Linked DNA regions of Arabidopsis thaliana. The protein of the gene in region 2 interacts with the protein of the main gene of each other region in a pairwise test. Each region holds a gene or a part of one and is shown on either strand. Other genes may lie near its edges.

The links.
Region 1: the proteins of GTR1 (region 2) and RABC2b interact in a protein complementation assay, tested with the Arabidopsis thaliana proteins (one large-scale study listed by BioGRID).

Annotation. Positions count from the first base shown.
Region 1 is NC_003074.8:3,029,164-3,044,728, forward strand, and holds RABC2b (RAB GTPase homolog C2B), read right to left. Parts: upstream 9,340-15,565; 5' UTR 8,959-9,339; coding exon 8,823-8,958; intron 8,548-8,822; coding exon 8,479-8,547; intron 8,378-8,478; coding exon 8,312-8,377; intron 8,210-8,311; coding exon 8,088-8,209; intron 8,016-8,087; coding exon 7,887-8,015; coding exon of another isoform or gene 7,821-7,886; exon of another isoform or gene 7,797-7,820; coding exon 7,701-7,796; 3' UTR 7,448-7,700; downstream 1-7,447. Other genes in the region: ATB' BETA (Protein phosphatase 2A regulatory B subunit family protein), read left to right, coding at 739-1,899, 2,430-2,768; AT3G09890 (Ankyrin repeat family protein), read left to right, coding at 3,515-3,692, 4,200-4,291, 4,373-4,451, 4,553-4,647, 4,736-4,831, 4,915-4,995; RABE1e (RAB GTPase homolog E1E), read left to right, coding at 5,524-5,596, 5,995-6,067, 6,151-6,251, 6,434-6,499, 6,596-6,693, 6,780-6,842, 6,935-7,027, 7,127-7,216; PIP5K9 (phosphatidyl inositol monophosphate 5 kinase), read right to left, coding at 11,263-11,542, 11,694-11,853, 11,926-12,083, 12,176-12,363, 12,544-12,654, 12,774-12,939, 13,034-13,201, 13,297-14,513. UniProt on the Arabidopsis thaliana protein: Intracellular vesicle trafficking and protein transport.
Region 2 is NC_003074.8:17,694,742-17,710,787, forward strand, and holds GTR1 (Major facilitator superfamily protein), read right to left. Parts: upstream 6,183-16,046; 5' UTR 6,031-6,182; coding exon 5,814-6,030; intron 5,248-5,813; coding exon 5,030-5,247; intron 4,950-5,029; coding exon 4,396-4,949; intron 4,307-4,395; coding exon 3,385-4,306; 3' UTR 3,201-3,384; downstream 1-3,200. Other genes in the region: HA4 (H[+]-ATPase 4), read left to right, coding at 1-154, 250-372, 470-574, 670-814, 967-1,131, 1,210-1,448, 1,541-1,573, 1,670-1,751 and 5 more; AT3G47965 (uncharacterized protein), read right to left, coding at 13,355-13,458, 13,938-13,968; AT3G47980 (Integral membrane HPP family protein), read left to right, coding at 15,736-16,046.

The DNA.
Region 1 (15,565 bases), about 15 Mb from region 2:
ATCAAATTTCAGAGTTCTTGAATTCGCCACTATCTTCTAACTCACGGAAGTTGCTTTATTTTTGTTTCTACTTAGAGATGATAAAACAATTTTGTAATCAGCAAACTCTTCTTTAACCTAAAGTACTTATATCAGAAACCACATTCATGAGAAACCATACTTAAACCTAATGTTAAACGAGAAAATAATTAACCACCTTCAATTTTTGTTAGTGGATAAATAGAGTACCAAACAAAATAAGTGGACAAATTTTAAATAAATAAAAATCTATGGACACTCAAGTTGTAATTTATTTTCTCCGTATCCATTTTGATTTTAGTCCCTTTGTTCCCATTTCTCTCCTCTCTCTCTCTTTCTCGCTCTCTTCCTGATTTGATCACCGGAAAATCTTAGCCGTCCGATCAACCACCGTGTACTCCGAGAAGATCTCTTCGATTACTTCAACGTTCTTCTGATTTTCACCAGCTCAGATCTCCGACAACATTCCGGTATCATTTCTCGCTTTTTTTTCCTCCAAATCCTTATCCGCCAGATTACGAAAATGAGGAGCTTGATCCGAGAGAGGCATAGTGAAAGCTTATCTGTGAATTCTTAGGATTTGAATCTGAATACTCAGGCTTTTTGATTCCTTCTCCGTTACATGCTGATTCAATTTTGAGCTCCCCTGCTAGTGTAAATCTCCTCAGCTCGGAAACTTAGGGTTTAGTTTGGGGTCCTTTGCTCTTCGTTGCGTAAGCCATGTTTAAGAAAATCATGAAAGGTGGGCATCGAAAGCCCTCTAAATCCGAAGCTAATGAACCGTCTAGTTATGGGATTGGTCTACCTGATAATAGGTCAGGTCCTGGCTCCAATGTGGTCGTTAGTCACGCTTCTCGTGGTGCATTGGTTAATTCTTCTCCGTCGCCAGTGACTGCAACTCCACCTCCTCCGCCTTTGGGCTCGGTGGAGCCACTCCCGTTGTTTAGAGATGTGCCGGTTTCAGAGAGGCAAACTTTGTTCTTGAGGAAACTTCAGAATTGCTGTTTCCTTTTCGATTTCACTGACACGATTAAGAATGCTAGAGACAAGGAGATTAAGAGGCAAACGTTGTTGGAGCTGGTGGATTTTATACAGTCTGGATCTAGTAAGATCTCAGAGTCGTGTCAGGAAGAAATGATTAAGATGATTTCTGTTAATATTTTCCGGTCTCTCCCACCAGCATCACACGAGAATACGGGTCAAGAGCCTGCAGATCCTGAGGAAGAAGAACCTTATTTGGAACCTTCTTGGCCTCACTTACAGCTAGTTTACGAGTTGCTCCTGAGATATGTTGTTTCGACTGACACTGATACAAAGGTGGCCAAACGGTATATCGACCATTCTTTTGTGTTAAAGTTGCTCGATTTGTTTGATTCTGAGGACCCAAGAGAGAGGGAGTATTTGAAAACGATTCTTCATAGGATATATGGGAAGTTTATGGTCCACAGACCCTTTATTAGGAAAGCAATCAACAACATATTCTATAGGTTTATTTATGAGACAGAGAGACACAGTGGGATTGGGGAACTCTTGGAGATTCTAGGCAGTATCATAAACGGGTTTGCATTGCCTATGAAGGAGGAACACAAGCTATTCTTAATCAGGGTGTTGATACCATTGCATAAGCCAAAACCAATCGTTGTATATCATCAGCAGTTATCTTATTGCATCGTTCAGTTTGTGGAAAAAGATTATAAGCTTGCGGATACAGTAATCAGGGGATTGTTAAAGTATTGGCCCGTGACAAACTGCTCAAAGGAGAATCTCTTCCTTGGAGAACTTGAAGAAGTTCTTGAGGCAACACAGCCTGTCGAGTTCCAGCGTTGCATGGTTCCATTATTCCAACAAATTGGTCGCTGTCTCACTAGCTCCCACTTTCAGGTTAGTCGTCGTGTTTGCAATGGTGTTTTTTTTTAATCCCCACATGGAAGGCTTATTATGCATATTACCTTAAATATGGAGATTTTGTTATTTAGCTCTTTTGACTCTGGTCTGATTTCTTCCCTGAAAAGAACTAGTGCTTCATCAAGTTTAGTGCAAATTGTTTTTTTTTGTTCTGTTTTTCTTTTTGCTTTGCCTCTTTCTCTTCATTTTTGCCACATGTTGATTTTCATTCATAAAATGATCTTGTTGGTACTAACTCTCATAAGTATGCGTTATATCTCATGCTTTTGATAGCTTCTACTCTGATTAAATCCTTGGATTCCTAGATCATCTTCATTTTCCATGATTCAGTTGTTTCAAAATTTATGGAGTGAATTAACTCTCTGAATGTATTGTTACTGTGCTTACTGATTTCTAGGAATCACACAAGTTTCCCGTTATGTCTTTGTGCAACAGCTCAAACTTTCCTAGAATTCTATGTGGGGTTTGCCTTATGCTCATATGTATATCTCATAAATCCGATACAGGTTGCAGAACGAGCACTGTTCTTGTGGAACAACGAGCACATTGTGGGTCTAATCGCGCAAAACCGAAGCGTGATCCTTCCAATCATATATCCCACACTGGAGAAGAACATCCAGTCTCACTGGAACCAAGCAGTTCATGGTCTAACCACAAATATCAAGAAAATGTTCATGGAAATGGATCCTGAACTGTTTGAAGAATGTCAGAGACAGTATGAAGAGAAACAAGCGAAATCCAAAGAAGTAGAAGAACAACGGCAATATACATGGAAGAGATTAGCAGAAGCAGCGGCGGAGCGAGATGGAGGAGGAGGAGAAGAAGATCATATGATCACTTCCTAGATCGATCAAAAAGGGTATAATTCTTTCACTTTTTTTTTTGTTTGTTCTCATTTTATCAAATGAGTTACTATATTAATTTTCTTATCAAACTTGGATTTGTTTGTTGTTTTGAGAATCATGGGTTCAAAATCTGATTGCTCAGAGAAGTAGAGAGAGAGAAGTGAGCCATTACTATCAGAGAATATGTCTTTAGTACTAAGAAATGTGTTTGTGATCTTCTGTCTAATTTTGTTCGTGGAAAGGCACTTTAAAATTTTGTAAAATTTTAATTATATATACTGTGGATGGATGTTTGTAGCTTGTGTTATTAGCCATCTCAAAATCCAATTTGGTTTTCTTGTTTTGATCCATTCTTACCCTACTTTTTGTGTTATTTGTATCAAAACTTTGAATTTGTATATAGGAGGAAACTAGTCTTCCAACTGATCCAGGACAATGTATTTGATTCCTCAATTTCCAAAAGATAAGAAGAGTTTTCATTTTAACTCTTAAGGTAAACTAAACACAATATCGTCTTCTTTATTATTAACCAAATTGGTTCAGAGCCATTGGACCGAAAACATAGACCGAGAGAATATACCAAGTTATATACAGTTAATTAACTGCGCCAATTCACCACGAGAAAACCTAAATTTTATTGAGGTAGCTTATTGCACGGCGGCGATTAGTTGTTTTACTTGTTACAAGAAAATCATTCCACGGCGGTGGAGAAAAAACAAAAGAGAGCGAGACAAAGAGAGACTACAATGGCTGTTCCAAGAGGAGGAAATGGTTTGAATGAAGAAGAAGATGTTGACGGAGAAAACGCTATCTTTGAGGAAAACGGTGTTGACTACGACACCGATTCCGAGCTTCCCTCTCACCTCCGTGACTTGGCCGCCGCTGCTCAGGCCGGAGATGTCGCCGCCTTGCGCACCGCCATCGGTACTTTCCTTACTTCTTCTCGTTGCTGCTTTTAACAAATTTCAATTTCAATTTCATCTTCAATTGCGTATTGCTTGATTAGCTGGTCAGACCAAAAAAGCCTCAAAATTTCCCACATTCATTGCAGAAGATTCCTCTAGTTTGATCTTCGTCTCATCCTTTTAAGCCACCTTAAGGGCTTCATTTTCCATTTGACTCACTGGTTTGCTCAATCTAGTTTAGGTTCACTTAGGAAGGATAAGAGAAACCTCTAGTTTTATGCCTATGTGTGTATTCATGTCTATCTTTGTTTTGTTTGTTGCTTGGGGCTGTGATTGATCTGACGTAAGATTTGCATACTCTTTTGAACTGATGAAAATTAGTTTAGTCTAGATCATCTTTCTACTGGTAGAAGTAATGGTATCAGATTTTGCATTGTGTGGATATGTCTTAATTTGTGCACTTTCTGCTGTTTTTGAGAAGATGAAATGTTTAAAGGCAATCATATTCCTTTTCTGATTTTGATAGACAATTTGAATGGGAGAGTCGATGAGCCACTCGAGGATAATGACTCGGCACTTCACTTGGCATGTCTATATGGTCACCTACCTTGTGTTCAGGTTGCTTTTTCTTTGTCATTTCCATCGACTCTGATAGCTAATGTATCTGTAAATTAATTTTTGTATTGATTTTCACTGCAGCTGCTCTTAGAAAGAGGAGCTGATATGGAAGTGAAAGATGAAGACGAAGCAATTCCTCTACATGATGCTTGTGCTGGAGGTAAAGTTTGTCATGGTCCTACCATTCTTTTGGTAATTCTGTCTCACGGCATGGTCACATTCTGTGGCTTATTGTTCTTTCTCTTTAACTTGGGCTCGCAGGATACTTGGAAATAGTACAGCTTCTTTTTAGCCGAGCTAGTAGTCCTGAATGTGTGAAGAGAATGATTGAAACAGCAGATATAGAAGGTGATACTGTAAGTATTCTCAATCTTCAATTGCCTCATTCCCTCTAGCTCTTGCTCTCTATAATGTAATTCATCCCAAAGTTTTTCTTGTTCACAGCCTCTGCATCACGCAGCAAGAGGTGAACATGTTGACGTGGTTAGGTTTTTGCTGGGTTCCGGGGCTTCACCAACGACACAAAACTCCTATGGGAAGGTGAAAAAAAACATTTGAAAGCAATTTCTATCTTTGGCTTTTGAAGTATGGTTAGCGATAATAACAAGGTTGTGATAATGCAGACACCAGGTGAATTAGCTGATTTAAACACTGATGCTAAGAGGATACTCGAAGAAGCGATAAACAACTCAATGATCTCCTAGTGATGCTGCAAATCTGCAGAGTTCATTGGCCAGTTTTGGCGACTCAGTGAAGTAGTAGCAAAATGTTAACTTTTTCTTAATCCTGTTTTTTGGTGGTTTCATATACAAAAGGTTTCAAATTTTGATACCTATGGAATTAAGAACTTCCGTGTCGGTTTTAATCATGAAATTATTATCAGATTTGAGTAGTACAAAATATACTAGTTTCTTTGTAAGAAAACTGGAATCAATTTTAAACATTTCAAACATCTATATTAACAAGAAGGAAATTGAGCGGTTTAATAAGTTGGTGGATTGAAGTGTGAATACTTGAGAAATAAAAGACTAAAACAGTAAAAAGTAATAAAATATGATCCACCAATGAGCAGCTTTGAACTTGATAGCAAGCAGAGCACTTATTCTGCCTCTTTCCTTTCTTTTTGGCTGTCTCCGGCGAGAAGAGATTTTCCGGGGGAAAATAGCAAAAGCTCGGTTTTAGTTTCTGTTTAGAAAGAGGATACAGAATAGTGATTACTAACATCTTCTCCGATGGCGGTTGCGCCGGCAAGAGCTCGTTCAGACTATGATTATCTCATCAAGCTTCTCCTCATCGGTGATAGCGGTAAGTCTCTGCCTTTCTATCTCTTAAGAAGTACTGAACAAACGAGGTTCAGAGACTATTGCATTTTTATCCGAGAATCTTCTCTCCTGCCTGTTTTGCGATCTGAATTAGGTTTATGATTTTGAACTTTTTTGCGTTTTTTGTTTTTCTTTCGTGTTTGATCAACAAAGTAGATGAGCTACACTCTCTTTTAATTGAAGTATCAACGTAGTTCCCTTTTGGAAGTTTTGGCTCAATTATAAGCAATATCTCAAACTTAGATTTTGTGAAGAACTAATGAATCAGTTTTATTAACTTGATTTTACAATGAGTTCAGATAGAGTTGCACAAATCATCATTTTTTTGTGTTAAATTTTCTTCTCTTCATTTCGTACTTATGTGTGTGTGTGTATACGCAGGTGTGGGAAAAAGTTGCTTGTTACTGCGTTTTTCGGATGATACTTTCACCACGAGTTTCATTACTACCATTGGGTATGTCTTTCTTTCTTTGACTTTGTATCTTGTCTTGTTAGATTGTTGAAAAGTTCGGTTTAAGTACGTTTCATGTTTTTCAGAATCGACTTCAAGATAAGAACAGTCGAACTTGATGGGAAGCGTATCAAATTGCAGATATGGGACACTGCTGGACAAGAACGTTTTAGAACTATAACCACAGGTTAAAACTTCTCTCTGCTCTATGTGAAGTGAAGATCACTCTTTATGTTTTGTGTATGAATCTGCTGATTCCTCTGTTAGATGATTACTCATCATTCTAAGTCTATTTGTTTACTTTCTTTCTTGTTAATAAAGTTCAGATGACATTTCTTTGTAACTCTTTTGGTCCATTTTTCTTTGCAGCATATTACAGAGGAGCGATGGGTATATTACTCGTCTATGATGTAACAGATGAGTCATCATTCAACAGTAGGTCTTCTGGCTTTTCTTTGTACCAGGAACTATATTCTTACTAGAACTTAAAAGTCACCTTTGTGTGGGAACTAACACAAATTGCTTCTCCAGACATTAGGAACTGGATGAAAAACATTGAGCAGCATGCGTCCGATAGTGTCAACAAGATATTGGTCGGTAACAAAGCCGACATGGACGAAAGCAAAAGGGTAATTTTGCTCTGTACTCTGTTCACAATCCTGACCATGTTTTGCCTACATTTCGTAGGATACTGATGCTGCATCTTATTCTACAGGCTGTCCCAACATCAAAAGGACAAGCTCTTGCTGATGAGTATGGAATCAAATTCTTTGAGACGGTGAGTGCGAAAATATATAATATGTTTGTCTCCTCATTCATTGTTTGTTTGAAGATTTTCATTTTCTTAAATATGATTGGAAACTGTTGCAGAGTGCAAAAACAAACCAGAATGTCGAGCAGGTTTTCCTTTCTATCGCTAAAGACATAAAACAAAGACTCACAGAAAGCGATACAAAAGCCGAGGTAAAGAAGCACATGGAATCTACTATTCGCTTGATACTCGGATTATGAAACTGTAAATATTGCTGAGGAAAATCAAATACTGTCTTTGTTGATTTGCAGCCCCAAGGGATCAAGATCACTAAACAAGATGCTAACAAAGCCTCATCGTCTTCTACAAATGAGAAATCAGCTTGCTGCAGTTATGTTTAGAAGTTCTCTGAACCTGTTTCTAATCTCTTACCGTCTTTAATCTTCTTCGCATCATTCAAGGGATCGTCCTATGTTCTTATTAGTAGGAGGATAGACTTAATTGATAGCTGTGTGTATTTTGCTATCTCGATGGCCAAACACTGTACTGGTAATGGTAGACAATGTTTAAGTGCTTAAACTTTGAATTAATGAAATGCAGATGTTATGTGTGTAAGCTACGGCTTCAAGGCTCGAAATTAGAGAGTTATCTCGTTCCTGTGTTTTGTGACAGATATAAAATTTCAGACTAAAAGTAATCACGAGATAATAAGAACATGAAGTGCCTTTTTTTCATATATTCTGGGGTTACAAACTTATTACAAAATCTCCGCCGAGGCAAGAAGAAGAAAGATCGAAGGAATTGATAAATTTACAGAGAAGTCAAGCTTCTTGAGAAATTTACACACAAAAGAGGCTACTTCCGACCCGATTTTAACAAGGTGACTCACGAGCTGCAACACCGGCCTTGATGAGCTCGGTAATCCGGTTTTCTCTTCACAGAGCTTGATCCTTCTTCCAAAAGACTAGGTACCTCCATTATCTGTTTCATTTTGCAACTCTCCTATTATTTATTTTCCTCAGTTTCGACCGGTTTTGAAAGTGAAAAGGGATCATCAAGATTCTTTCTTACCTTCAAAGCTAGCTCTTCGAAGCATCCGTTCACGTTTTCTCGGGTTCTTGCGCTACATTCATGAAACAAACAATTGAGGTCTTTCGCTAGAGCCATTCCTTCTTCCCGGCTAACCTTCCTTTCTGATTCCTGCAATGACAACTATCAGTGAAACCGATCTCAAGTTGTTTGACTACAAGTGTTACTACTACTGCTACTCACTCTATCAACTTTGTTGCCAACGAGCATCTTAATGCAGTCATGGTTAGTCGAATATAGCTCAATCTCTTTAGCCCAAATATCTGCCAAGTTCAAAAATGTCTCTCTTTTCGTGACATCATAAACTGCACCATGACCAAGAAAATCCGGAGAGAGTATTAATACAAGTCTTGAGAACTTATTACGACAACAGCTACTGACAATTATATGATCTCATATATCATTACCGAGAATGATTCCTTGGGAGCCTCTGAAATAAGAACTTGTCAATGTTCTGAACTTTTCTTGTCCAGCTACACAACAATCACAAACAAGAAATCACATGGACCATGAGTTTTGTAGTAACCAACTACACACGTTCCAAAAACTCGAATTGCTCTTATTGCTTTTTTACCTGTGTCCCAGATTGTAAGTTTCAGCCTTTTCCCTCTTACTTTCATCTGTTTGATCTTAAAGTCAACACCTACAATGTTATACTGATCAGACTCAAGCAGGCTTCAAATTCAGATAAGCATCAAGAGTTATGTTTTCCGAGTTTATTTTCAAACAGAAAATCATAAAGAAAACTTCAAGTTCTCAAACTTCAACTTCATTTGAATTTTGACCAGACAGTGGTCTAGCTCACAAACAATAAGCTAGCCTTCAATGCAAAAAAAAATCATGTCGACAAAGAGATATTTGAAGTTTGACCAGTCAAGATTCTAGCTCTAAGACTGTTAAGAACGAACGATAAATTACCAATGGTGGGAGCAAGATCTTCGACAGAGCTGGAAATGAAGCTGAGAAGCAAGCTGCTTTTACCAACACCAGAATCTCCAATCAACAAGATCTTGAAAGATAGATCATACCCACTTTGCCCAGAAGAAGATCCCATTTTCTTCTACAATCTCTCACTCTATCTAATACTACAGTAAAGAGATCAAATCAAATTCAACTTAGATAAACAAACAAACAAAAGAAGTGATTTTTATGTTATCTTGTAAAAGAATGAATCGAAAAAAGAAGAGAGAAAACTTTGCCTCTGCAGAGAAATCTATGATTCATACAACAAATTAAGAAACTTTATTCTTTACAGAGCAGAAAACAAATAATGAAAAACGTTAATGAGAATTGTTGAACAAATACTGTCAAAAACATTAAAGAACTCTTTACTGCTTCTTCTCCTTTCTCCGACATTTCGCTTCACGACACGTATCTGTTTCTGTTTCAACGTTTCTTCCAAAGTCCGTCTTGTTTTGTATCCACGTGTTTGTTGCTCCCTCCCAAATTTTTTTTTATTTTTTCCTAGCTTTTTATTATAAAACCAAATATTTCATGCAATCAAAGCACTACTGTTACGTTTGCAATTATCTTTTGCGGTTTGCGGCGATTCAGACCCAAAAAAACACAAAGGAAAACTAGTTTTCTTAGTGAAGCTCTCATGAAAGATAAGTTGTTATAAAGAGTGTTCACAAGTTCACTTGTATGGATTACAAGTTACTATCAGTTTTGGAACAAGTACATGAACAAAGGCTTTTTTTACACTTTAAAACATAACCAAAAAAAAAAAAAACTCTTTCTGTTGCAAAATTAACCATTCAAATCAATTACTCTCCAAAGTGTTTTTTTGTTTTGTTTACACATATGTAAAGAGACGACCGTAGTTATCAAAAGCATTTTGGTCACAACAAAGTAAGCTTAACAATCAATCAGCAAGTGAAATCAAATGATTACAAGTGAATAAAGAGACAAAGAGACCTCGTTTCAAGCCTTGTGACGCAATTATTAAACAGTAGCAGCAAGAACTTTCACCAATTCACATTCTTTAGGCACTGTAAGCACATGATCAAACCATTCAACTTCCCAAAACTTTCGCAACTTTTGCTTCTTTCAAGCGAAATCTCCGCACACCAAATCTTCTTCTTATAGACGAAACTAGTCAAACCATAAAGCAAATCCTCGTCCCACAAAACCGCTAACTTTCCTAAGCCCTAATAGAAGCACCAAGAGGAAACGTAAGTTGTCCTAAGCCCTCCAAATATCTCCACCTGCTTGCCTCAGTGTCATACCATATAACCGTTCTGCTATAAACAGAGTACAAAATATCATCTATCTCACAATAAGAATCTGAACGCATATACTGATCCAAATCCAACCATATACCTTCCTTGGGATTGTAAGCAACAACCCCCTCACTGTCAGTCACTACATGGATCTTTCCATCAATACAAATGCTTTTGGGGTGAAGAAAGTTGTATTTTCTGTCGCTGTAAGGGATGGGCTCACTAACCCAAACTTCCGTTTTCGTGTCGAACACCTCAAAGAAAGAAGAACCTAAATGCATATCGCTGTAACATCCTGCTACATATATCTTTTCACCAAGGACGCTAGCAGTAAGTGACGAATGTTCCACCGGCAAGATTGGAGCCTTGCGCCGCCTGTGAGACCGACAATCTAGAATCGAGCTTTGAACCTGGCGCCACGTGTGAGACCGGCAATCCAGAATCGAGACGTTAGAGGAGGGCCCGTGGATGTAGTAGATATCAGAACCAACCACCACGAGACTCGAAAAGCGCGGTTTATGAAAACTAGGAATGGGGACTGTTGCCAAAACATACCCACTTGACTTCTTTTCAGTGGTGTCATTGGATAGGGTTTGATCTGGCTTCCGACACAGGGTGAACCAGCGATAACCAGGACAGCACCGTAAGCACACATAGAGACAACGCTCGGTGTGACCCAAGAATGACCTGCTGGCCTTGTAAAGCTCCGGTGAAGCTAGGAGGGATCGAAAGCTCTTGGAAACGAGTGAGAGAGTCGGATAGTACAATCTTGGGACGCGTGCGATGATGTCCAATAGCAAATCATAGGGATTGACTGATTTGGGGACAGCTTCTTCTTCTTTGTCCTAGTCGTAGTCTTCCTCTTCCTCTTCTTTTCCAGGGACGACATTGATTTCTTACTCTTCAAAAGAAGAAGAAGAAGAAGACAACACGTTAGGGCTTTTCTGTGACTTTTGATTATTTATATTTTTGCCTTTTAATAATTAAACCAAATACTTCATGCAATCAAGAAAAGGAGAATTAGTTTTTTACTTATTTATTGAAGCTCTCAAGATCTGTATACAACATACTTACAACATAGAATTCTTTTTTATCTCTACAAAAAAAAACATAAAACTCTGTACTCAATTCTCTGTCTATGATTTGTTGTTCTGTGGAAATACTTTCTTGATGAACTCAAGAAAACGTTGGGAGTAGAATGTTGGATCAACGGCTGAGATCGAAAGAGAATCAAAGTGAAGAGATTTATAAGCATGTTCAATCTTCTTGGTCATGTTGTACTCTTGTAAGATGTCTATAATGCCAAGGTAGAGTACGACGTCGCAGCAGTCATGTAAAATCTGCTTCTCTTTATCTTCTCTTCCCGGTATCAGCTCTGCTCTTGCCGGCATGTTCACTCCTTGCTGTATCTGCAGCCTGCATTTTATAGAGATTCTTTTCAAAAACCGAACTGGACTAAGTTTCAATCAGTTCCATGTCGTCTGGATCATATGTATTCCATTTATTTGTCATCAGCATTTGTTAAGTCTTAGTTTTTCATTTTTCCAACCAGGTGAGAGTTAGTTACCTGGCTGTTCCAGGAAGAAGGAGATCTACTTCTTCATCACCAACAGCGGATGCTCGTAATCTGCTGCCTCTGATGTGAGGGCCAGTTACAGTATTTTCACTTCCCCGAGGAACGAGAACCAATCCTTCGTGGTAAGACAGCATGTCGTCCTCGATTGTATCTGCTTTCATCATCATCAGTAGAAGAAAAATAGTATGAATCATTTTACAGGTGATGAAAAAAAGAATCTCACCATCTTCAGCTACACTTTCCAGAGCATCAGTTGTTATACTTTGAGAACGGACCAATTGGGATCTTAAGTGCTGTGGAGCTCGATGATGCACACCGAGCAAAAGACTGTAATCCATTATGTTCTGTGCTTCCAAGAACTTGCTATCGATCTCTAGTTGCCTGTTTACACAGCAAGAAAAGAAATTTTAAACTGCGGAATATGGATTGATAAATGTATATATCTTACAAGAAGGTCCTGGAGAGAGTAATACCTCAGTAAACCTTCCCGCCAAGAAGTCTCCAAGAAGAAGCTGTAGTTCAGATCTAAATCTTTAAGTATCGTGTTCTCGTCTATCTCGACTTTGTCTGCAGAGCGTCCCAAGGACGAACCTTTAAGGTCAAATCTCCGATGGATTCTTAGATCTGTAAAGAACATGTTACCCATCACCACAAAACGGAACTGCAATGGAAGAGAAATTTTCAAACATAGTTAGTTTTAAGATTGATTTGGATTTCCAAATGTTGCTCTAATGTTAGAGTTCTACTCTACATCATATTTAGAGGCAGCAATGTCGGCAACTTCAAAGCTAATGATAATAAAAAATCAAAATCAGAATCTTGAGGTATTTTGGTTCAGGACCTTTTGACCACTTGATGGTTTGATTCTGTGAAGGCCAAAGAATTTAGTAATGAGGGTGTTCTCATATGTCTTCACATGATGATGGTAATCTGGAAGCATCCTCAGAAGAACCTACACAGTAAATCTGGAAGCTCAATGGGCAGACGGACAAAGAGTCTACGCAAAGACATGGAGAAAACTAAGAAGATAATGTGAAAACAGAGATGGTGGATATGTAAGTAGTCACAAACCTTGACTTCAGATTTCCTGAGTGTTTTGATCATGAACCGATCATCCTGCGACAGGAAGAAGACGCTGCCGCTCTTCCCTGGAGAAGAAAGTTCTCTTAAAGTATCATTTCCACAAATGGACATCATATAATCAGCTGCATCGATCTTGAACATCTCCCTCAGGTTTCTACAAGGTTTAGCAATGAATATAAACACCAAGGACACAACTACTATAGTTAACATACTACTAAGAAAAAAGTATGCAGTACACAAGTTCTAACCTGAATACCATTGGGCAATAGTCCTTCCATTTAAAATCCTCCGAGTGGTGCGGAGGAGTCATCGTGGAGCCAGCTCGAGGAAAAGTCATCCAAAAACTAGCCCGAGGTCCAAAGTCTGCTGTCCGAACTTGTCGTCTTTGTATTGGCGTAATTTTCCCCACTGTGTATCTAACGTTTGAACTAGTTCAGTAACAACAATATTCGGTGATGAATTTAGAGCTAAACACGCTCACAGGGCACAGGTTTAGAAGGAGCAAGCATACCTGATTCCAAGCTGCAAACTGAGCATCAGATCATAACTCCGGTGACCTTTAATAACAACTTCTCCAGGCTTCTTAGCTTCTTTAACAAGTCTTTTGTGTTTCCTTTTTGCTCTTCTGGATGTGCGCGAAAACCCGTTGTTTACCACAAGCTCACTGATCAGAACACCTTGCATATATTCCCTCTCCAAGATTGGTATGTTAGCTTTATACTGCACACTACTTCCGCTATCTAAAACTGCCGTAGATAAATCCGAGTAACCATGTCCAATCACTTTCTCAATAGATACTTCAAGACTCCAACGTCTTTCTAAAGAAACCCTTCCATTGCGGGACTGTTCTAAGTTTATTAAGCTCCCTTTTGAGAGCTTATTACGGTTCACACCAACTCTAAGGTTTTCCATATTAACCGAGGAAGCAACTTGGTTCTGTCTTCTCATATCTGGCAAAACACCTCTCTTTCTAAGAGCATTTAAATAAAACTCTTGCACTACCGGAACTCTGGTTCCCGCTGAATAAAACGAGCCTTTACCGTCTTTCAAACCCCGTGTCCATGTCCCAACATAGCAACCTCCATCGCTCCACGTATATACACCAACACCATGCATCATTCCATTCAACCAACTTCCTTCATAGGAATCTCCGGTAACCCAAGTAAGTGTACCCTTTCCTGACATTTTCCCGCCTTTCATATCCCCGAGATAGACATTTTTATTAGCCCAAGTATACTTCCCTGGTCCTTCTCCCAATCCCTGAATCCAAGAACCTTCAAAGACATCTCCATTAGGGTAAACCTGATATCCGAGCCCATGTTTCAAATTAAGCCGCCATCTTCCTTTATACGTTAACTTGTTAGCATCCACATAGGTCCCTGAACCGTGCATATAACCGCCTGAAAATTCACCATCATAAGATGCCCCGGAAGCCCATCTCATATTTCCAATTCCATGTCTCATCCCACGCCTCCATTCTCCATCGTAAACACACCCATCTGACCATATGTACTTCCCTGGTCCCTCGGGTACATTTCCAAGCAAAGAACCACTGTAGGATTCGCCATCGGGGAGAACCAGCTCCCTAACTCTGAACCTAGCATCCTCAGAAGTTTCGGAAACTTCTCCACTGTTTAGCGCCGATAGGATCTCTTTCTTAGTAAGTGCATCAACAGATTTAGTTCTTTCAGCAAAAGAAACTGCTCCTCGTACGTCAAGGCCAGACATGTAAATCTCCAAAGAAGCTAAAGCAGAAACGCTCAGACAAACCGCAGAGCAAAAGGCTTCACAGCCTTAAGGAGAACATTCTTTCAACAAAACATGAAGCTACCTCCAGTAAACTGGTGAAACAGAATGTGCTCAGCTATTCAACGAAGAAAGCAGATGCAAGAATCAGGTTCCAAGTCACGATGTATGAATCTAGAATCAGAATCAGAAAGAATAAAAAAGAGTAACTAACTTTTGATGCATGCAATAATCTAAAACTAATGAGGAAAACATGAAAATAGATAAATGGTCACAAAAGCAAAGACTTGCTCAAATCTCTATCAAACAAGAAAATTAAGACACGCATCTGATTCTTGGTCCCACTTGAAAGAACAAGAACTTCTAAATTTCACAGAGAGAGGCAGAGAATGAGAGAGGAGCAAACAAAAATCCCTTTTTCCTATCAAAAAGAAAGCCTTTTATGGAAGAAGACGAGTCTACAATCATAAAGCCTTTATATAAAAAAAAATCTAAACTTTTATATTGAATTCACATTTAAAAAGAAGAGATTCCTCCACGTCTCCCAAATAAAGGCAGAGTATGCCAAATTTACCAAACCAAAAAGCTAGAAAGAATCCTACTTTTTAGGAATTGAGCAAATGAAAAACAAAAAATGTTCATAACAAAGTTTCAATGTTTCAATCTGAATTTGAAATTCATAATGAAACCCCATCAGAGCTCTATATAAGTACATATCAGAGTCGTGTCGATGGAAACAAAAGTTAAAAACTTTGATTAACACAATCAACAAGCAACTCCATTTCAATCTTCAATCTTCAACAAAGATAAAACGAAAGCAACAAAAACCGAAGATCCCGGTTAAAGACTTCTTCAATCCAAAGAGAACCAAAAACAGAGAAATGCCCGAATTCGAGAATGAAACCGGATCCAAAAACCAAATCAAGCTCACTAAATAAGGAAACTGGGGAAGTAAAGGAGATTCACAAACCGTACGGACAAGCTCAAAGCTCTTCACTTTCTTCTTCTTTCTTCGTCTTCTTCAGCCTCAGTGT
Region 2 (16,046 bases):
GAATAAACTTACTGTTGACAAAAATCTGATTGAAGTTTTCATGAAAGGAGTGGATGCAGATACTGTTGTCCTGATGGCAGCTCGAGCCTCCAGACTAGAGAACCAAGATGCTATAGATGCTGCTATAGTCGGGATGCTGGCAGATCCTAAAGATGTATTTGGTTTCACTGAACTGCATTCTAAGATTTATTAAGCTTCCTTTGTTTTCTGTTTATTTCTTTGGCGCTTATGGTCAACCGTTTTCTGTAGGCACGAGCTGGTATCCAGGAGGTTCACTTTCTTCCTTTCAATCCTACTGATAAGAGAACGGCTCTGACATATATTGACAATGAGGGTAACACACATAGAGTGAGCAAAGGTGCTCCTGAGCAAGTAAGCTCTTTATCGCCAGTTGTGCCTATATTTTACTAATTTTCAATTTTTAGTTAGAGCATAGTCTGAACAGTTACCTTCTGTGAAAATGTTTCAGATCTTAAATCTTGCACACAATAAATCAGAGATTGAGCGGAGAGTTCATGCTGTTATTGATAAGTTCGCTGAAAGGGGTCTGCGATCTCTTGCTGTGGCGTACCAGGTCAATTGGTGATCTACTTTCCAAGATTCTTAAGATATTGAGTCACAGCAATTTGATATAAAGTTCAAGGTTGAAAAGGTTTTGTACTTTTGCAGGATGTTCCTGAAGGGAGGAAGGATAGTGCTGGAGGTCCTTGGCAATTTGTGGGTCTCATGCCTCTTTTTGATCCGCCTAGGCATGACAGTGCTGAGACGATAAGAAGGGCTTTAAATCTTGGTGTGAGTGTTAAAATGATCACAGGTGAAAAACATTTCGTAGCATTTAGTGAATTTCCATTTCATATTGATATTTCAGTCTGATCCTTATAGCATTTATCCTTGTCAAGTTGTCATTTTGACATTTCTTGTCAAGATAAAATTTATCCTTGCTAAAGGCTTGAGGCTTCTCTATAGGGGATCAACTGGCTATAGGAAAAGAGACTGGGCGCCGTTTGGGGATGGGAACCAACATGTACCCCTCATCCGCTTTACTTGGACAGAACAAGGATGAGTCGATAGTTGCTTTACCTGTCGATGAGCTCATAGAGAAAGCTGATGGCTTTGCGGGTGTCTTCCCTGGTAAATTCATGTACTTCTGAAACTAGTTCCAGCATCTATAAACAGAATTTCTCACTTATGCCCAAGGGTTTTCTGCAGAGCATAAATATGAGATAGTGAAGCGATTACAAGCCAGGAAACATATATGTGGAATGACGGGTGATGGTGTAAATGATGCTCCTGCTCTTAAAAAGGCTGACATAGGCATTGCAGTTGCTGATGCCACTGATGCAGCTCGTAGCGCATCGGATATTGTTCTTACTGAACCTGGTCTTAGCGTTATCATCAGTGCTGTTTTGACCAGTCGTGCTATCTTCCAGAGAATGAAAAATTATACTGTGAGTGCCATATTTCTTTGAAATCTCAAATCATTGAGGCCTCATGACAATTTCCTTTTAACTTTTGTTGGTTTTCATGTTTTACTGGACAGATCTACGCAGTCTCCATCACAATCCGTATTGTTGTATGTTACGATTCAGTTTTTTGGGTTTTCCTACTCATTTCTCTTTTACTGTTACCACTAATATTCTGACTGCTTTGTACACTTTTACCGATTCAGCTGGGCTTTATGCTTCTGGCTCTCATATGGCAGTTTGACTTCCCACCTTTCATGGTCCTTATCATTGCCATTCTTAATGATGGTTCATTTCTTATTTCCTCTTTTTCTCGATCATAATTAGACTTTCAGAGTTTTCTATTAGTTCCTCTAGACTCTGATATACCAATGAACTCTTGTGGAATTGACGTTTAGGTACGATCATGACAATATCAAAGGACAGGGTGAAACCTTCCCCTCTTCCAGATAGCTGGAAGCTTTCTGAGATTTTTGCTACCGGTGTTGTCTTTGGCAGTTACATGGCCATGATGACCGTTATATTTTTCTGGGTTTCATACAAAACCGATTTCTTCCCGGTACATTTTCTCTCCTCTCCGTCACTTGTGTTTATCTCGTTGGTTTTATTTGCTTTGTTAATTCTTTCACTAACAGCTAATCTCAGCTTTTCTTACTTGAAACTTCAGAGAACTTTTGGAGTTGCGACACTTGAGAAAACTGCTCATGATGATTTCCGAAAGCTTGCCTCAGCCATATACCTGCAAGTCAGTATTATCAGTCAGGCACTTATCTTTGTGACCCGATCGCGAAGCTGGTCTTTTGTGGAACGTCCCGGGATATTTCTTATGATTGCCTTTATCCTCGCTCAGTTGGTAATTCCGGAAGTTTGTTAACTGTGTGATCAGTACACAATGAGAACCTCAAAAGTTATGAGCTTTGGGTCTAATTATATGAATTTTTGTTTTGCTTCCAAAACAGGTGGCTACTCTAATTGCAGTCTATGCAAATTGGAGCTTTGCTGCGATAGAAGGAATAGGTTGGGGATGGGCCGGGGTCATTTGGCTCTATAACATCATATTCTACATCCCCCTTGATTTCATCAAATTCTTCATCCGCTACGCTCTTAGTGGCAGAGCCTGGGATCTTGTTATCGAACAAAGGGTATGTTATTAGGAACACAAATAGCTTTTGTGCCACTTTATACATTAAAGTTTCTTATCGGGTTTCTTGCATTTTCATAGGTTGCGTTCACAAGGCAAAAAGATTTTGGGAAAGAACAAAGAGAGCTGCAATGGGCTCACGCACAAAGAACGCTCCATGGTCTACAAGCACCAGATACTAAGATGTTCACAGATCGAACCCATGTCAGTGAACTTAACCAAATGGCTGAAGAAGCCAAGAGGAGAGCTGAAATTGCTAGGTAAAGTAACTCAAAGCCAAATCTTCTCCAGCTTTTTGAACATAACAAAAGAACATTTTTTCATCGTCTTCTCTCTGTCTACTGCTCTCTTCTTTATAGGTTGCGTGAACTTCACACGCTCAAGGGCCATGTTGAATCAGTGGTGAGACTCAAAGGACTCGACATAGAAACCATTCAACAAGCTTACACTGTCTGAGAAAGTGAGTGCAAGCTGATTTCAGTTGGGTCATGAAGGTTGTGTCTGTAGTTAATACATACATATTGCATATAAATATCGAATCCTCGTAGCCTTCTTTTAGCGGTTTGTTATGTTCTGTTCTGTTGTGGTGATGAAAGAAGAAACAGAAACTTCGTACGGAGGTTGAAATTAGCAACAAAAAACTTATTTTACAATACATGTCTACAAAGATGAAGTGATTTTCTTCTTCAATTAATCTATAAAAGTACAACAAGGTTGATTTCGGGTGAAGAAAAACTACGGAGATTGAAGTAGAATACCAAAAATATATAAGTTTCCAGATCAGACAGAGTTCTTGTCTTGTAGCTGCTGTTGCTTGGTTTCTTCTTCATTGGTCTCAATCTCAGTGATGTCTTCATCATTACCTCCTTTGTATCTATACCATCTAGCCATCAACAAGAAGTAAGCCATGTTAACAACCATGAGTCCTGTGAGCATGAAGTAGAAGTAATCCAATTTCGCTTTGTTCAGATCCTCAGCTAACCAATTCCCTGAAGGTGAATGCGCGGTTGTTCGATGAACAGTTGATATCAAGAAGCTAGCGAGGTAGCTCGAAACCCCTGCACCGACATAAAAGATAGAACCCGCGAAGCTCTTCATGTTTTCAGGAAACTGCTTGTAGTAAAACTCCATTTGTCCAATGGCAGCAAAAGCTTCTGCTATGCCTGCAAGTGTAAGCTGCGGAATCAGCCACAACGCTGACATTGATGAGATTTCTCCTGTCCGAGGCGCCATCCCGAGTGTCGGTTTGGTCAATGCAAAGTTTCTTCTCCTTTCCTCTATAAACCCGGAAACTAATAAACTCATTATCGCAAATGTAAACCCAGCTCCGATTCTTTGTAAGAGTGATATACCGGTTTCTAACCCGGTCACTCTTCTGAGCGACGGGACAAGTACACGGTCGTAGAATATGATGAAAACTGTCATGCCAGTCATCAAGAACACTACATAGGTGGCCGCAGGAATCCTGAAGCCACCAGAACCTAATCGTCGGTCGCTCTGGAGCGCTTGGAAGACCGGATAAGTCATTTGTATAGTTATTGCAAGGTAGTATATCGTGGATGCAAACCAGATTGGAATCACTCTTACAATGCATTTCACTTCTTCCACTTGCTGCAACGTGCATAGTTTCCATGGATCGGAAGCCGTTCCATCGGAGTTCAACTTCTCCTCGGGGGTCATAATTGCTGCTTTGTCTAGAAATCTGGCAACATAATAAACAAACATTTTTCAGCAAAACAAAAGCCAGAAACATAAAGCAAGAGAACCAAGAATAAGTAGATATCAATTTACCTGAACTGGTCGGTGTATTTTAGAGTAGTATTTGCATAGTTAGACGGGATATGGTTGTAAAGATTGACCCAAGGCTGCTTAACCGGCTTCAAACCTCGTTTCTTGATCGCGGCTGCTATAACACGAGCAATACCAGCCAATGGACTACCCGAGGCTTTCACTTTTACATACAATCTATCGCCAGCAAAGAAAATCACACACGCCAAGAACATAAGAGCCACCGGAATGATCAAACCGATTGTCCAACTCACATTTGACTGGATATACACAACTGCTGTGAGCGAGATGATCTGCGCGAACGTGAAAGTGAAGAAATACCAGTTGAAGAAACTGTTGATCCCTTTCTTTCCTGATTCGGATTTGGGGTTGAACTGATCAGCACCAAACGCTAAATTACACGGTCTGATACCACCAGCGCCTACCACAAGAAAGCCTAAACCCATGAGCAGAAACAGTATCTGTCCCACACTTGGCCCTTCGCACGAGATTTTGTTTCCGCAAGCAACGGGGTGCAACGACGGAATTGCAGCAGTAAGTAGTATCACAAACGATCCCTACAGAGATGAAAAATGGTTTAGAAAACATTGGCGAAAACGAAACCGGAGTCATGAAAGATTATATATAAAAGTAGTACCAGAAAACAAGCGATGACAGCGACACTGAGAGTCTTGTAGCGACCAAAGTAAGTGTCGCAAAGAAAGGCAGCAATAAAAGTCCCGAAATTGATTGTACCACTAAAGGCATTGATGATAGTTGCAGCTGTGTAGCTCTTAAGGTTGAATACAGAAGTTAGGTACACAAGAAGGTTTGATAATGTCCCTATGATCCCAAGCTTCTCAAATGTCTCATTACCTACAATAGCAAATTAATGATAAGAAATTAAGAATACAGTTACAGTTTTTTTTTTACATTTAATGTACAAGGAAACACACAAATCAAAGTTTGGACTTCCAATGTTCTGACTTTGGTTCACATGAAACTTTATAACTGTTTTGTAACTCCCATAAACTAATTTTGTCTTATCCAGAAATTCACAAAAATCTTATCTACTTTTTTCAGAAACTTAACTGCATGATTTAAAGTCTCTGTTTTTTGTGTTAAAGATTTCAAAAGTCTCTTTGAAAATAAAATGAAAACAATTGTAAAAAATATAATTTCCATTAGACAGATCTGTAAGATTATCTGGGTTTCATTGTTTCAACGAAATCTCAGTTTTAAAACCAATTTCACTTCGAAATCTCAGAGAAAGAACTCCAAATTCGAGATTTTTGACAGAGTCAAGTCAAAGAGAAGAGAAAAGAAACGAAATTTAAAAACATCACGGACAAAATGTTACACTTCCCTAAAATCCGACAAAGCACCCCAAAAGAAAAAAATGATGTCTGAATTAGACACAAACAAGTAAAAAGGAGCGTTACCAATGATAAAAGGCATGACTTTCCATCCTCTATAAACGATTTTTCTCTGCTCTTCCTCGAAAGAATCGACCACATCGGTGTTAGTCGTCGTAGTAGATGGCTCAACCTCAAGAGGCTTTCTCTCCATAGTATCAACCTGTGTGTAATGATTGGTGTTGTTGTTGTTATGATTCTTATCTCTTCTGTCTCTATGGTTAAGAATGACTCTGCTCTTCATGTCAAGCTTCTCCGCTCAATTATATATAGTGGTGGAATCAAACGAGTGGATTTTGTCGGAATCTGGGCAAAGGGGGAAAAATGAAAATAAAGAATGGTGTGAATTTGGCTGTGAAAGATAGAGACATCTGTCTCTGAGTGACTCATTTTCATTTATTACTTTCCCTTTAACGTTTCTTTTTAATGTGTGGGCTGAGTTAGCTGGATTTAGGTAGGCCCATTTTTACACTAGTAAGTCAATATATTGTTTCAAAAGTCAATTATTTTATATATTAGTTTTTTGTTTAATGAGATATGTATGTTTACATTACACCAAGTTTATGATTTCAGATTTCTGTAGTCAAATTTTTCGATCGAATTATTATATTATATATGTCAAACCTATCAATTTAATAATTTTAGGTTTCGGTTGCGTAAAAGAAAAACTAGGTTTCGTTTTTTTTTTCTCTCTAAAATCTACTAGCATTTATAATTTACGAATAAAGTCAACATACTTTCTAATTTATGTTCTTTGTAGCTATTTCAAAAAAAATCCCTTCTTTTATGGGGGAATTTCAAAAATATCCAAGTAATATGTTTTTTAAATAACCGCATATATTGTATATTTTCAATTATGTATAACGATATATAAGATTTTTTATAAAAAAAAAATTTAAATACAAGATTTTCTAAATGAATTATAAGATTTTATAAATATGAATGATTATTCAACCACTATAAGCCGTCACAGACATTAAATATATTATTTTTGAAATATGTATAATTGAAAATGGACAACACATATGGTCAATTTTAAAATATATATATATATATATATATATATACACATAGTAAAAATGGTATATTTCTAAAAAAATTCTAGTTTTATGGATAAAGAATTTAAAATTTTATAAGTATCAAAAACTAAACAAGAATAATGAATAATTAGTTTTAATGTAAGTTATGCATGTAATTTACTTTTAATATATATGATCCACATGCATGTGCAGTGATAATAATTATAAGTCGGTAGGTGTCTGTATAAAAGATCTAGAGCCAGCCTCTCTTTTTCCCAGCTAATCCTAATTAAAAACACATTTCTCTTGTATATATAAATATCTATAAAGTGTATTGTTCTATGTTTACCCTACTCCCGTAAATCAAAAATATATATATATATGAATGTCTTCTCAAATAACTTTTGCCGATCCCAAAAACATCGAACTACCCGAAATACACATTTGGCAAGACATCATTTTGTGCTATCAGTCGACTTTATGCTTTTGAACTAATCTTAAAGGTAGATCACGCCCGTCTAGAGGACATATACGTTTGTTACAATATGAATGCATATTGCCATCTTCTCTTACAATTTAATGTTGGAGACATTTGGCTACTGACTAAGACCCAGTTGACCGACCAAATTGCACATTTGTACGTATACCTGCATGGGGGTGGGGGTAAAGCGATAGAGGTTGCTTTGGATATTTGGTTTCCAAAATTACCAATGGGGTAGAAAAAAGACTATAAATTAAAATAAATAATTAATTACTTATCGGTTCATAAATTTCATAAGATTCCGTTCATAAATGGATGATTACATATGTAAAGACAAGAGGCAAAGGGTCCACTTTAGTTACTTCACATTTATTGAGGTTATTATTGATGTGATTTCGAAGTTTGGCATATATGATGAGTATTGCAGTCCACAGAATTTGCTAGTTTTAATCAAAAACCTAAACACACACATGCTTAGGGGAAATGATACCAAAAAAACACCTAGCATTTGCCAAAACAATATCTAACTAGCTATCTCATTGGATATTTACGCTAGAGTTTTTACATATAATATTTGCCATCTTAACACCATCCTAATTCACAGTTAGAAACACCGTTCAGTTTCTGTTTCAGTAAAAAAAAATCATCAAATCAAAACCCTAATTGAAGCAAAATCCAACTTCTATATATTTCATCCCTTTTTCCTCCACCGATCTCTCTCAGTTTCTCGCCAGTCTAAGAACCAAGATCTAATAAGCTTTGGTAAAATCATGTGGTAAAAACATTTGGCTATGTTTTTGTTTCATTGTTTTTTTCTGTTTCCATCGCAAATATATAGAGGAAGCTTTCCTGTTCCAATAATTTCTAGAATAACTTTCTCTTTAATTGTCGTGTCTTTTTCTTTCTAATTAATTACTGCGTCTAGTCCAGAAGTTTTGATTTGAGTTGCTCTTGTTTGTTGGAGCTCATAATTAATAATTACTCTCACTTTTTCGTAATATATGATCCGATAGGTGAAACCTTAGAAGATCGTCCAGCTAAACATGTTGTGTCCTCTTTCGAATTCTCGAAAGATTCCTCTAAATTATTCAATAGTATGTTTCACTGAGTGATTTTTATTCGCTCATAATTGTCTATAATCTATTATAATACTTGCTAGGCATAGACGATGACAAGTCATTGTTGTTGACAAAGCTGTGGACCCAGGATCTTATCTACACAACATTTGTTTCACTAAATTGATTCTCATATCCTCTTAAGTCTTTATTTGAGTTCAAGATAAACAAAAAAAAAAAAGATAAACAAATCTTCCTGATAAGCAGAATATCTAGATGAATACTTAGTATTTAAAATTATAGTTTTCATACGTGTAGATTGTTGTGCAAGATGAATCGTATACATTATAAAGTCCTAAACTCCGTTATTAAGCCGACCCAAAATAAAGTCATAGATATAACCAGTGTTTTCTTCCTTTTCAATTAGGTTTTGACTTGAAAGATCCCAACTCCAAATTATTTTGTAGTACAGTGTTCACACTAAACATTTGCTTCTTCTTTTTTTAATGCACACAAATATACATTACTTTAAACTAAAAAAAAAATAACAATTCAAGGAAGACTTCATGGCATTGCAGACCAAAAAGAACCTGGCTGCACATGCATGTAAGAAAATTAATATGGACTTCAGACCAAGAAACTGATGTTCTTAAAAATTATACAAAGATAGTTCTGGATTAGGGATTCTATTTTTATTTTTGCATGCTTCCAGTTCATTTCTCATTTAAATTCAACTACATAAATACCAGTTATTTTTCCTTATAAGTGGAGTCTACATATTTAAATAAATAAAAAGCAATGCCCAATTCTATTTAGAATTCCAACAAACTGGCCTGAACAAGAAATTTATTTGTAAGAGAGAAAAAAAGGGTGTACGATGGGAAGCATTGCAAAAAGTTATAATTTAGCAGACTTTTCAATAGGTTTATACAATAATATATAATGATATTTTTCTAATCTTTGAAAACAACACTGTTATACTAATATATGTACGTGTTGGATATACGTGGACCACAAAAACACATGTTTTATGGTGTACGTATGTATACAGTGTACACACGTGTTTTTTATTGTGAAAATTATGAGAGAGTTATTGTAATAAAATAGTACTCCATAATCCATATACCTACCAACTAAGTCCGTATCATATGTGAAAAGTGAACAATGGTTTAGGAGGTGATGACTAAATAGTATGGTCCGGTTCGGTTAAATAACTCAAATATGAACTCGTAATAATTTGGACTGGTTAGATTTTGGCATCCTTTTATAATTACGTTTGCTAAAGAATGTACGTTTCGGTGTAATATATGCATGAAAAAAGAAAAACAAAAACTAAATCGAGAAAGAATTCAGTTCAGTTGGGTTGTCATTATACGAAGAAACTAATCAATACAAGCAAACAAGAAAAAAAAACATATATGAAAATAGAAGAGGTGGTTATGATGATGATGATGATGATGATGATGATGATGTATGTCCATATTACCATATACTTCCTACTTTTTGGGGTTTGACGCGGTTTATTTGGAAATTAGTGATTTGATCAAGTTGTAGAAAGCAACACAACTATCTACACAAGTCAACCTTCTCATGCTAATTATCCACGTCACGGGTTTGAACCTTTTAGTCTAATTCACGCGGTCAATCATTGGATAGTGTGGACTGTGGATAGTGGACGATGGTTAGTGGATGCACTAGATGGTTAGTGGATGCACTAACCAAAATTGAAAACTGAACCGAACCCAAAAACTAAACGATATTCCAATCCTTGTCAATCATTTAAAAGCGTAGGCCACGTTTTTTTTTGTTTTTTTTTATATGCCTATTTTTATATTTTATGAGTTGGACCGGCAAGCCTGAAGAAATCAGTGGGATGAAGAGAAATTTACTTTATATATTAACATTTTAAACATTTATAAACTTGGTGTCAAATTCTGAATGAAGAAAATCTCAATGGAATGGAACTGTATGGTTTTTGTCTAATCTCTTAAGATATTTAAAGTCTTAACTACGTGTCTATTCGTTATATTGGATGTTTGTGTTTTTTTGGCGGTTTAATTTTCATTGTTGAATTGGACTACAACACTAAATTTGGTCCAACACTTGACTTATAGTTTACATATAATTGACTTTCCATGTTCACATCATAAATATGAGCCATTCGATTTCAATATCGCTTTTGTATGTATAAATGAATAAAAATATAGCTCAACCTTACTTTACGAGGTCGTGTAGCAAACAAAAAACAAGTTGCCTTTTTCATTATTGGGCCGGCAAGTGCTACATGCACTCTCCGCGTACAATTACGTTCTTAATTCTCACGTTTTTATTTGTTGCAAAGTTAAATATTTGTTTGTTGCAAATATAACTGTATTATATAGTCCATAAAATTTGTATATAATATTCATTCCGAGAATTTTTTTTCATGAGAAAAAAAGACACTAATATTAATATATATAGTGCAAGATATATTTACATACACCGCTCTCCCATATTGGTGAATTTGTCCAAAAAAGATTTTACATGAATATGTTCAGGGATTGTTTGTCCCATTCTGTTTTACGACTTTTTTTTTATTTCTTTTTTTTTGCGATACATTGTTTTCGGCATAAATTATGGTGTTTCAATCATATACAACACCCACATCTTTACCACACAATTCCATTTAAAATAAACGTTTTAATTTTCGCGAAAAGTAACAATTATTATCGGTATAGTTATGTCATTGAAATACATACAAAAAGCACATAATACCTACAAATCCGTTTCTAATCAATATTACTGCGTAAAGCTTAAAAGCTTTTATCATTATTTTATTTTAAGTTTCTTCAAAAGGTACGCATTATAGACTACATTGGTCAAGAAATCAATAATTTCGCATTACAAAAATGTGTTGTAAGAGATCAACACGCAGGCAGGCACTAGTACTAGTTTAAATTGTATACTATGTCAAACACGATATTTAATTCTTTACTGCGTCAGGCGAAACATGTTCAAAATGTGTTATACATCGGAATTTTTAAGCGTCTTCAAATTCAAAGAGTAATATATGTCGACGAAGACCTAAGTAAATAAGTGGATATAATCTGATTGGTAAGTCTCAGTCACTATATATGTGCTAAAGTTTATAAGTTTTTAGTGCTGCAAATGGTATAATTTTGGGCGGATGAGGTGGTTGAGCCATATTTTTCATCGTTCACACCCGACTAGATTAATTAGTGGACGGTTCGAGCACTCTTTTTTTTTTTTTTTTGTTATTTGCGTGTTTTATTTTTATTTTTTAACACGATAGTTACATGTATTTTTATGGATTATTTTTATGTATTTTAAGATATTGATAAGCTGAGAAAGGTTGGTCGCAGCTCTGTTATTTATTAGTTGACACCAATGGAAAATACTGATACGATATTAGGAGGATTTTCTTCTGCGTAGTTTTTTTTCGAACTTGGTTGGGTTTTAAATTGATTGCTCGCCGGATATTTTACTTGTCTATTCACAGTCTTCAAAAACTATAATTACTATGTATATATTTCACATTTTCTTATTTTTCAACTTATAATTTTGCATATGAGCTTTAGAATAAATAAAACAAATTTAATGATGTAGATGTTTTCCTTTGATACTTGGACAAGAGACTTTTAAGAAGTTTAATTTAATTTGTTCTAGAATGTAGTTTAGGACCAATGTCCTGGAAACAAAATTATGGTGCCGCCATTTTCCGCAAAGTGATAATTATTGAGTATTGACCCAAATAAAATTATTAACCGTTATAAAATAAAAAATACTACAGTCTAAACAACATTAGACCATACAAGTTTAAATATTTTATCAAACGGCAATTTCAACCTAATGGGGACGTCCCACAATGAATCACCACAATTTCTCAATATCAACTTGCTCGATGTAAAAAAGAAAAGATTGTTCGATGTAGGCTTGTCTACAAATTATATATACTCAGGAACTTAGAATTTGAAACAGTACTATTTTCATTAGATTAATTATATATAATTTTATATTGTCAAAGTGGCAATACCGATCAACTATTTCCAATAGATTAATTATATATAATTTTTAGGACAGAATTTTTTTAAAATATTCCTGTCATGATTTCCACAAATAAGAAATACAATTATAGATAGTTGATCGGTATCTTTTTAATTTAATATTAAATTATATTAAAAAAAACAAATATATAATTTAATATTAAATTCAAAAATAAATACCGATCAACTATCTATAATGGTATGATCTGTTGGTGTTTGTAGAAATCATGATAGGAATATTTTAAAAAAATATATTCTAAAACTTTCACATGTAAGCATTTTCAAAGGCCCAAAATTAAATAGATAAAAATGTTGAATGGTAATTTTTTTTCGTTCACCAAGTGTTATTAGCTCAATTGGTAAAGATTTTAGGCGAAGATTAGAGGTCGTCGGTTCGAGTGACACTTGTAACGAAACTAATATTACATGATGTGATTTCAGGTTTAAAGAAATTACGGATTTTGGCCCAAAACCATCGACACACTTGTTAGTGCGTATATTTTTTAAAACTAAATGTAACACCACCCAAGTTTTTTAAAGTATATTAAAGCCCAACCGGTATGGGCTTTGTTACCGAGTTTCACGTACATGTTCACGTAAGAGCATCCACATTGGTTGGTTTCTAATATGAGTTTCTTCAAATTGTTTATTAGTTAATTTTGATTGTTTTGTAGTTTAGAGTTTTTTGTAATTTTTATGGTTCAATGGTGAAATCTTCAAGAGGGTTTTTAAAAAAAAAAAAAAATTTAGAAAACAAAATGGTCAAGTACATAAGCTAATAGATGAAACTCATGAAATAAAACTCATTACTCGATTGTAACCAAAATGGTTAAGTTCAGACCAAACACTCACATTCATCTATTAGTCGATATGGTTGAGTTCAGACCAAACACACACATTCATCTATTAATCAATTTGGTTAAGTTCAGACCAAACACACACATTCAGTCATTAATGGATATGGTTAAGTTCAGACCAAACTCATTAATCGATAAAACTCACAACAATACATACATTTAAAGCATTTGGTCTCTTCCACAATTGATGTTGGCACCATTTCTATTCTTCCCAGTCCTGCAAAATGAAGCAAATCATGACATTAACAGATGAAACAAAACCGTAAACTACAAACATTCAGACCAAACACAAATACTCATCTCATTAATCCATAAACTGAAAACATTGAGACAAACATTCACCAAACACAAATACTCATCTCATTAATCCATAAACTGAAAACATTCAGACCAAACACAAACATTCAGACCAAACATTCAGTCTCAAAGTTATTACACATATACTAGAAGCCGAAATACTAGAAGCTAAAACTTAAAGCCGAAATATTAGAAGGTGAAGTACATTCTGACCAAACATGCAACATTCAGATAGAAACTAAAACTTAAGACAACATATTATTTATTAGCCTGTTCTTAAGCGCCATCTATATGTCAGATAAAGGCTCTGTTTTGCCACAACCATGTTTTTTGAGCAAAAATTTCAGAAAACTCGAAGTGCATTAAAAGAGATATACTTGAGACAGAGCTGGATTCTACCTCTTGGTAAGAGCTCATGAGATAGCCACATGATAGAAGCTCCTGGTGTTACAAAGAATTGAACAATATAACCACAAGATCCGGTTTGAAGTTGACTTGGTGAACAATCTCATCGTCGATCATCATTCCGGCGGTTGTATATTGAGTATATGTGGTTGCTCTCCCGATTTCATGATCAAAACGTTGGATCAAACAAATCAAGCTGAATCGCCTTTGGTATCGTCGACGGAGAAACCAAACAAAAGAGAAAGCTGAGAAAAAATTCATTTTGTTTAAAACAAACAATCTATCACAATTAGCCACGTATGCGTTTCTAATGAGTTTCCAAAAACCTAATTTTAGGAACGTTCCTAAAATTCTTGTTGAATTTTTATTTAATTTAGGCCCATTATTCTCTTAGAGACCAACTAAGAAACCCACTAAAAACTATCGATGAACTTGGTCTAAGTCTTTTTGTCTTACGTATAGATAAAAAAATTGATATGTATTGATGCAATCTGAAAAAAGATATCCATGAACCATGATGCTTTAAAAAAAGAGTTTTCTGCAAAGAAAACATTGTTTGGATTAGTCCGAGGAAACCATGAAATTTGCATAGATTATTTGCTGACTTCACTCAAGTTTTTGCTTCCTCCAATTTTTTCTTCTATGCGTTTAAGTAAACCAGTCAGATCCAATGGTAAACAATAAAATGGTCGACAGTATAAATGGGCTTTTAAGCAGAGTCTTTGGGTTTAGAAATCAGTATCTTAGTTTTGCTTCGCTTTATATGTTTTTCTATGTGATTGGTATGGGTTTGAAGGTACAAAGTACAAAACCCAAAGTCTTGGCCTTGTCTGCTTTCTCAAAATAAGTACTAATCTTGTCATAAATTTTGTTCTTATTTCGGTCAGTGAATTACTTTATAAGAAGTTATATAACGAGTAAGAATCAATTGATAGATCTTTTTAACCGGTAACTGAAGATTCGTTCCTCTTTGAGAGAAGAAGACACTAAAAAAATTTGGGTTATATTATAACTTAATTAATATACATAAATGTTATTTTAATTTATGATTGGTGTTCACGATTAGAAACATGGAACATGTGTATGCATGTGAAGGCGACAACTTCCATATACATAACAGAAATACAAATACAAATCTCTAGTAAACCAAATTAAAATAACAATAAGGAGAAATAAACTAAGTATTATATGAAGCCACACTTGTAATCCAATGACCTTTCGACTGATCAAACAGACTCACCTTTGAACCCCATTCACCTCTTATAAAGCCACTGCTTTTCTTTCTTTTTGGCATATCCACTTGCATCTATCATTTTTTATGTAAAGTCATTCCTCTGTTAATTATTACTATAATACATGTAGGTCCTTGTTCTTAATCAGATTAAATAATATCAGCTGAATAATAATTTTAAATAATTAAAGTCGGCATTTTAGAGTGGTGAAATTTGGTGACAATTATATCAAAAACTCTTCACATTTTTTAAAAAAGAAAAGACAATATCAACAACTATTACACAAGAAAAAATCATTCTGGTTCCATGCCATAAACGGTAGCATGCCCTTAGTAGTGTCAAAAAGAAAATATCCACCTTTGTATATCATTCATTTTAACTGGTGTTACATCACACCATATAATATATGTATTAACACAAATCTCAGTGTTTGTTATATCATTGTCCACTTCTTTCTCTCTTTTCTCTCTCTCTGTCATCCCTAATTAGAAAAGAAAAGAAGGGAACATATTTTTGAGTCTTTGTTGAGATATTTACATCAAAACACTCTCTCAACAACCATGGCTTCGCTTCCGGTGAAGCCTCTACCTTCCGGCCACTTACAGCTTCATAGCCGGAATCTTATTATTCCGCCATCAATGGTAACCGTTGGTTTCAAAAGGCATCACTTCTTAGGAGTCTCTTCTTATGGTTTATGTATTGATGAATCTGTAAGGCATATGAGAAGCCTAAGGTCGTCGAGCAATCGTCGGCGAGTAAGTAAAAGCGCCGGCGTGTCTATGCCGGTGGCTTCCTCTGATGATTTTCCAGCGGTTTCTTGGGAGTCTTGGAAGCCGGAAAAGACCACGGTGGCTCCGTCGCTGAGTGACGT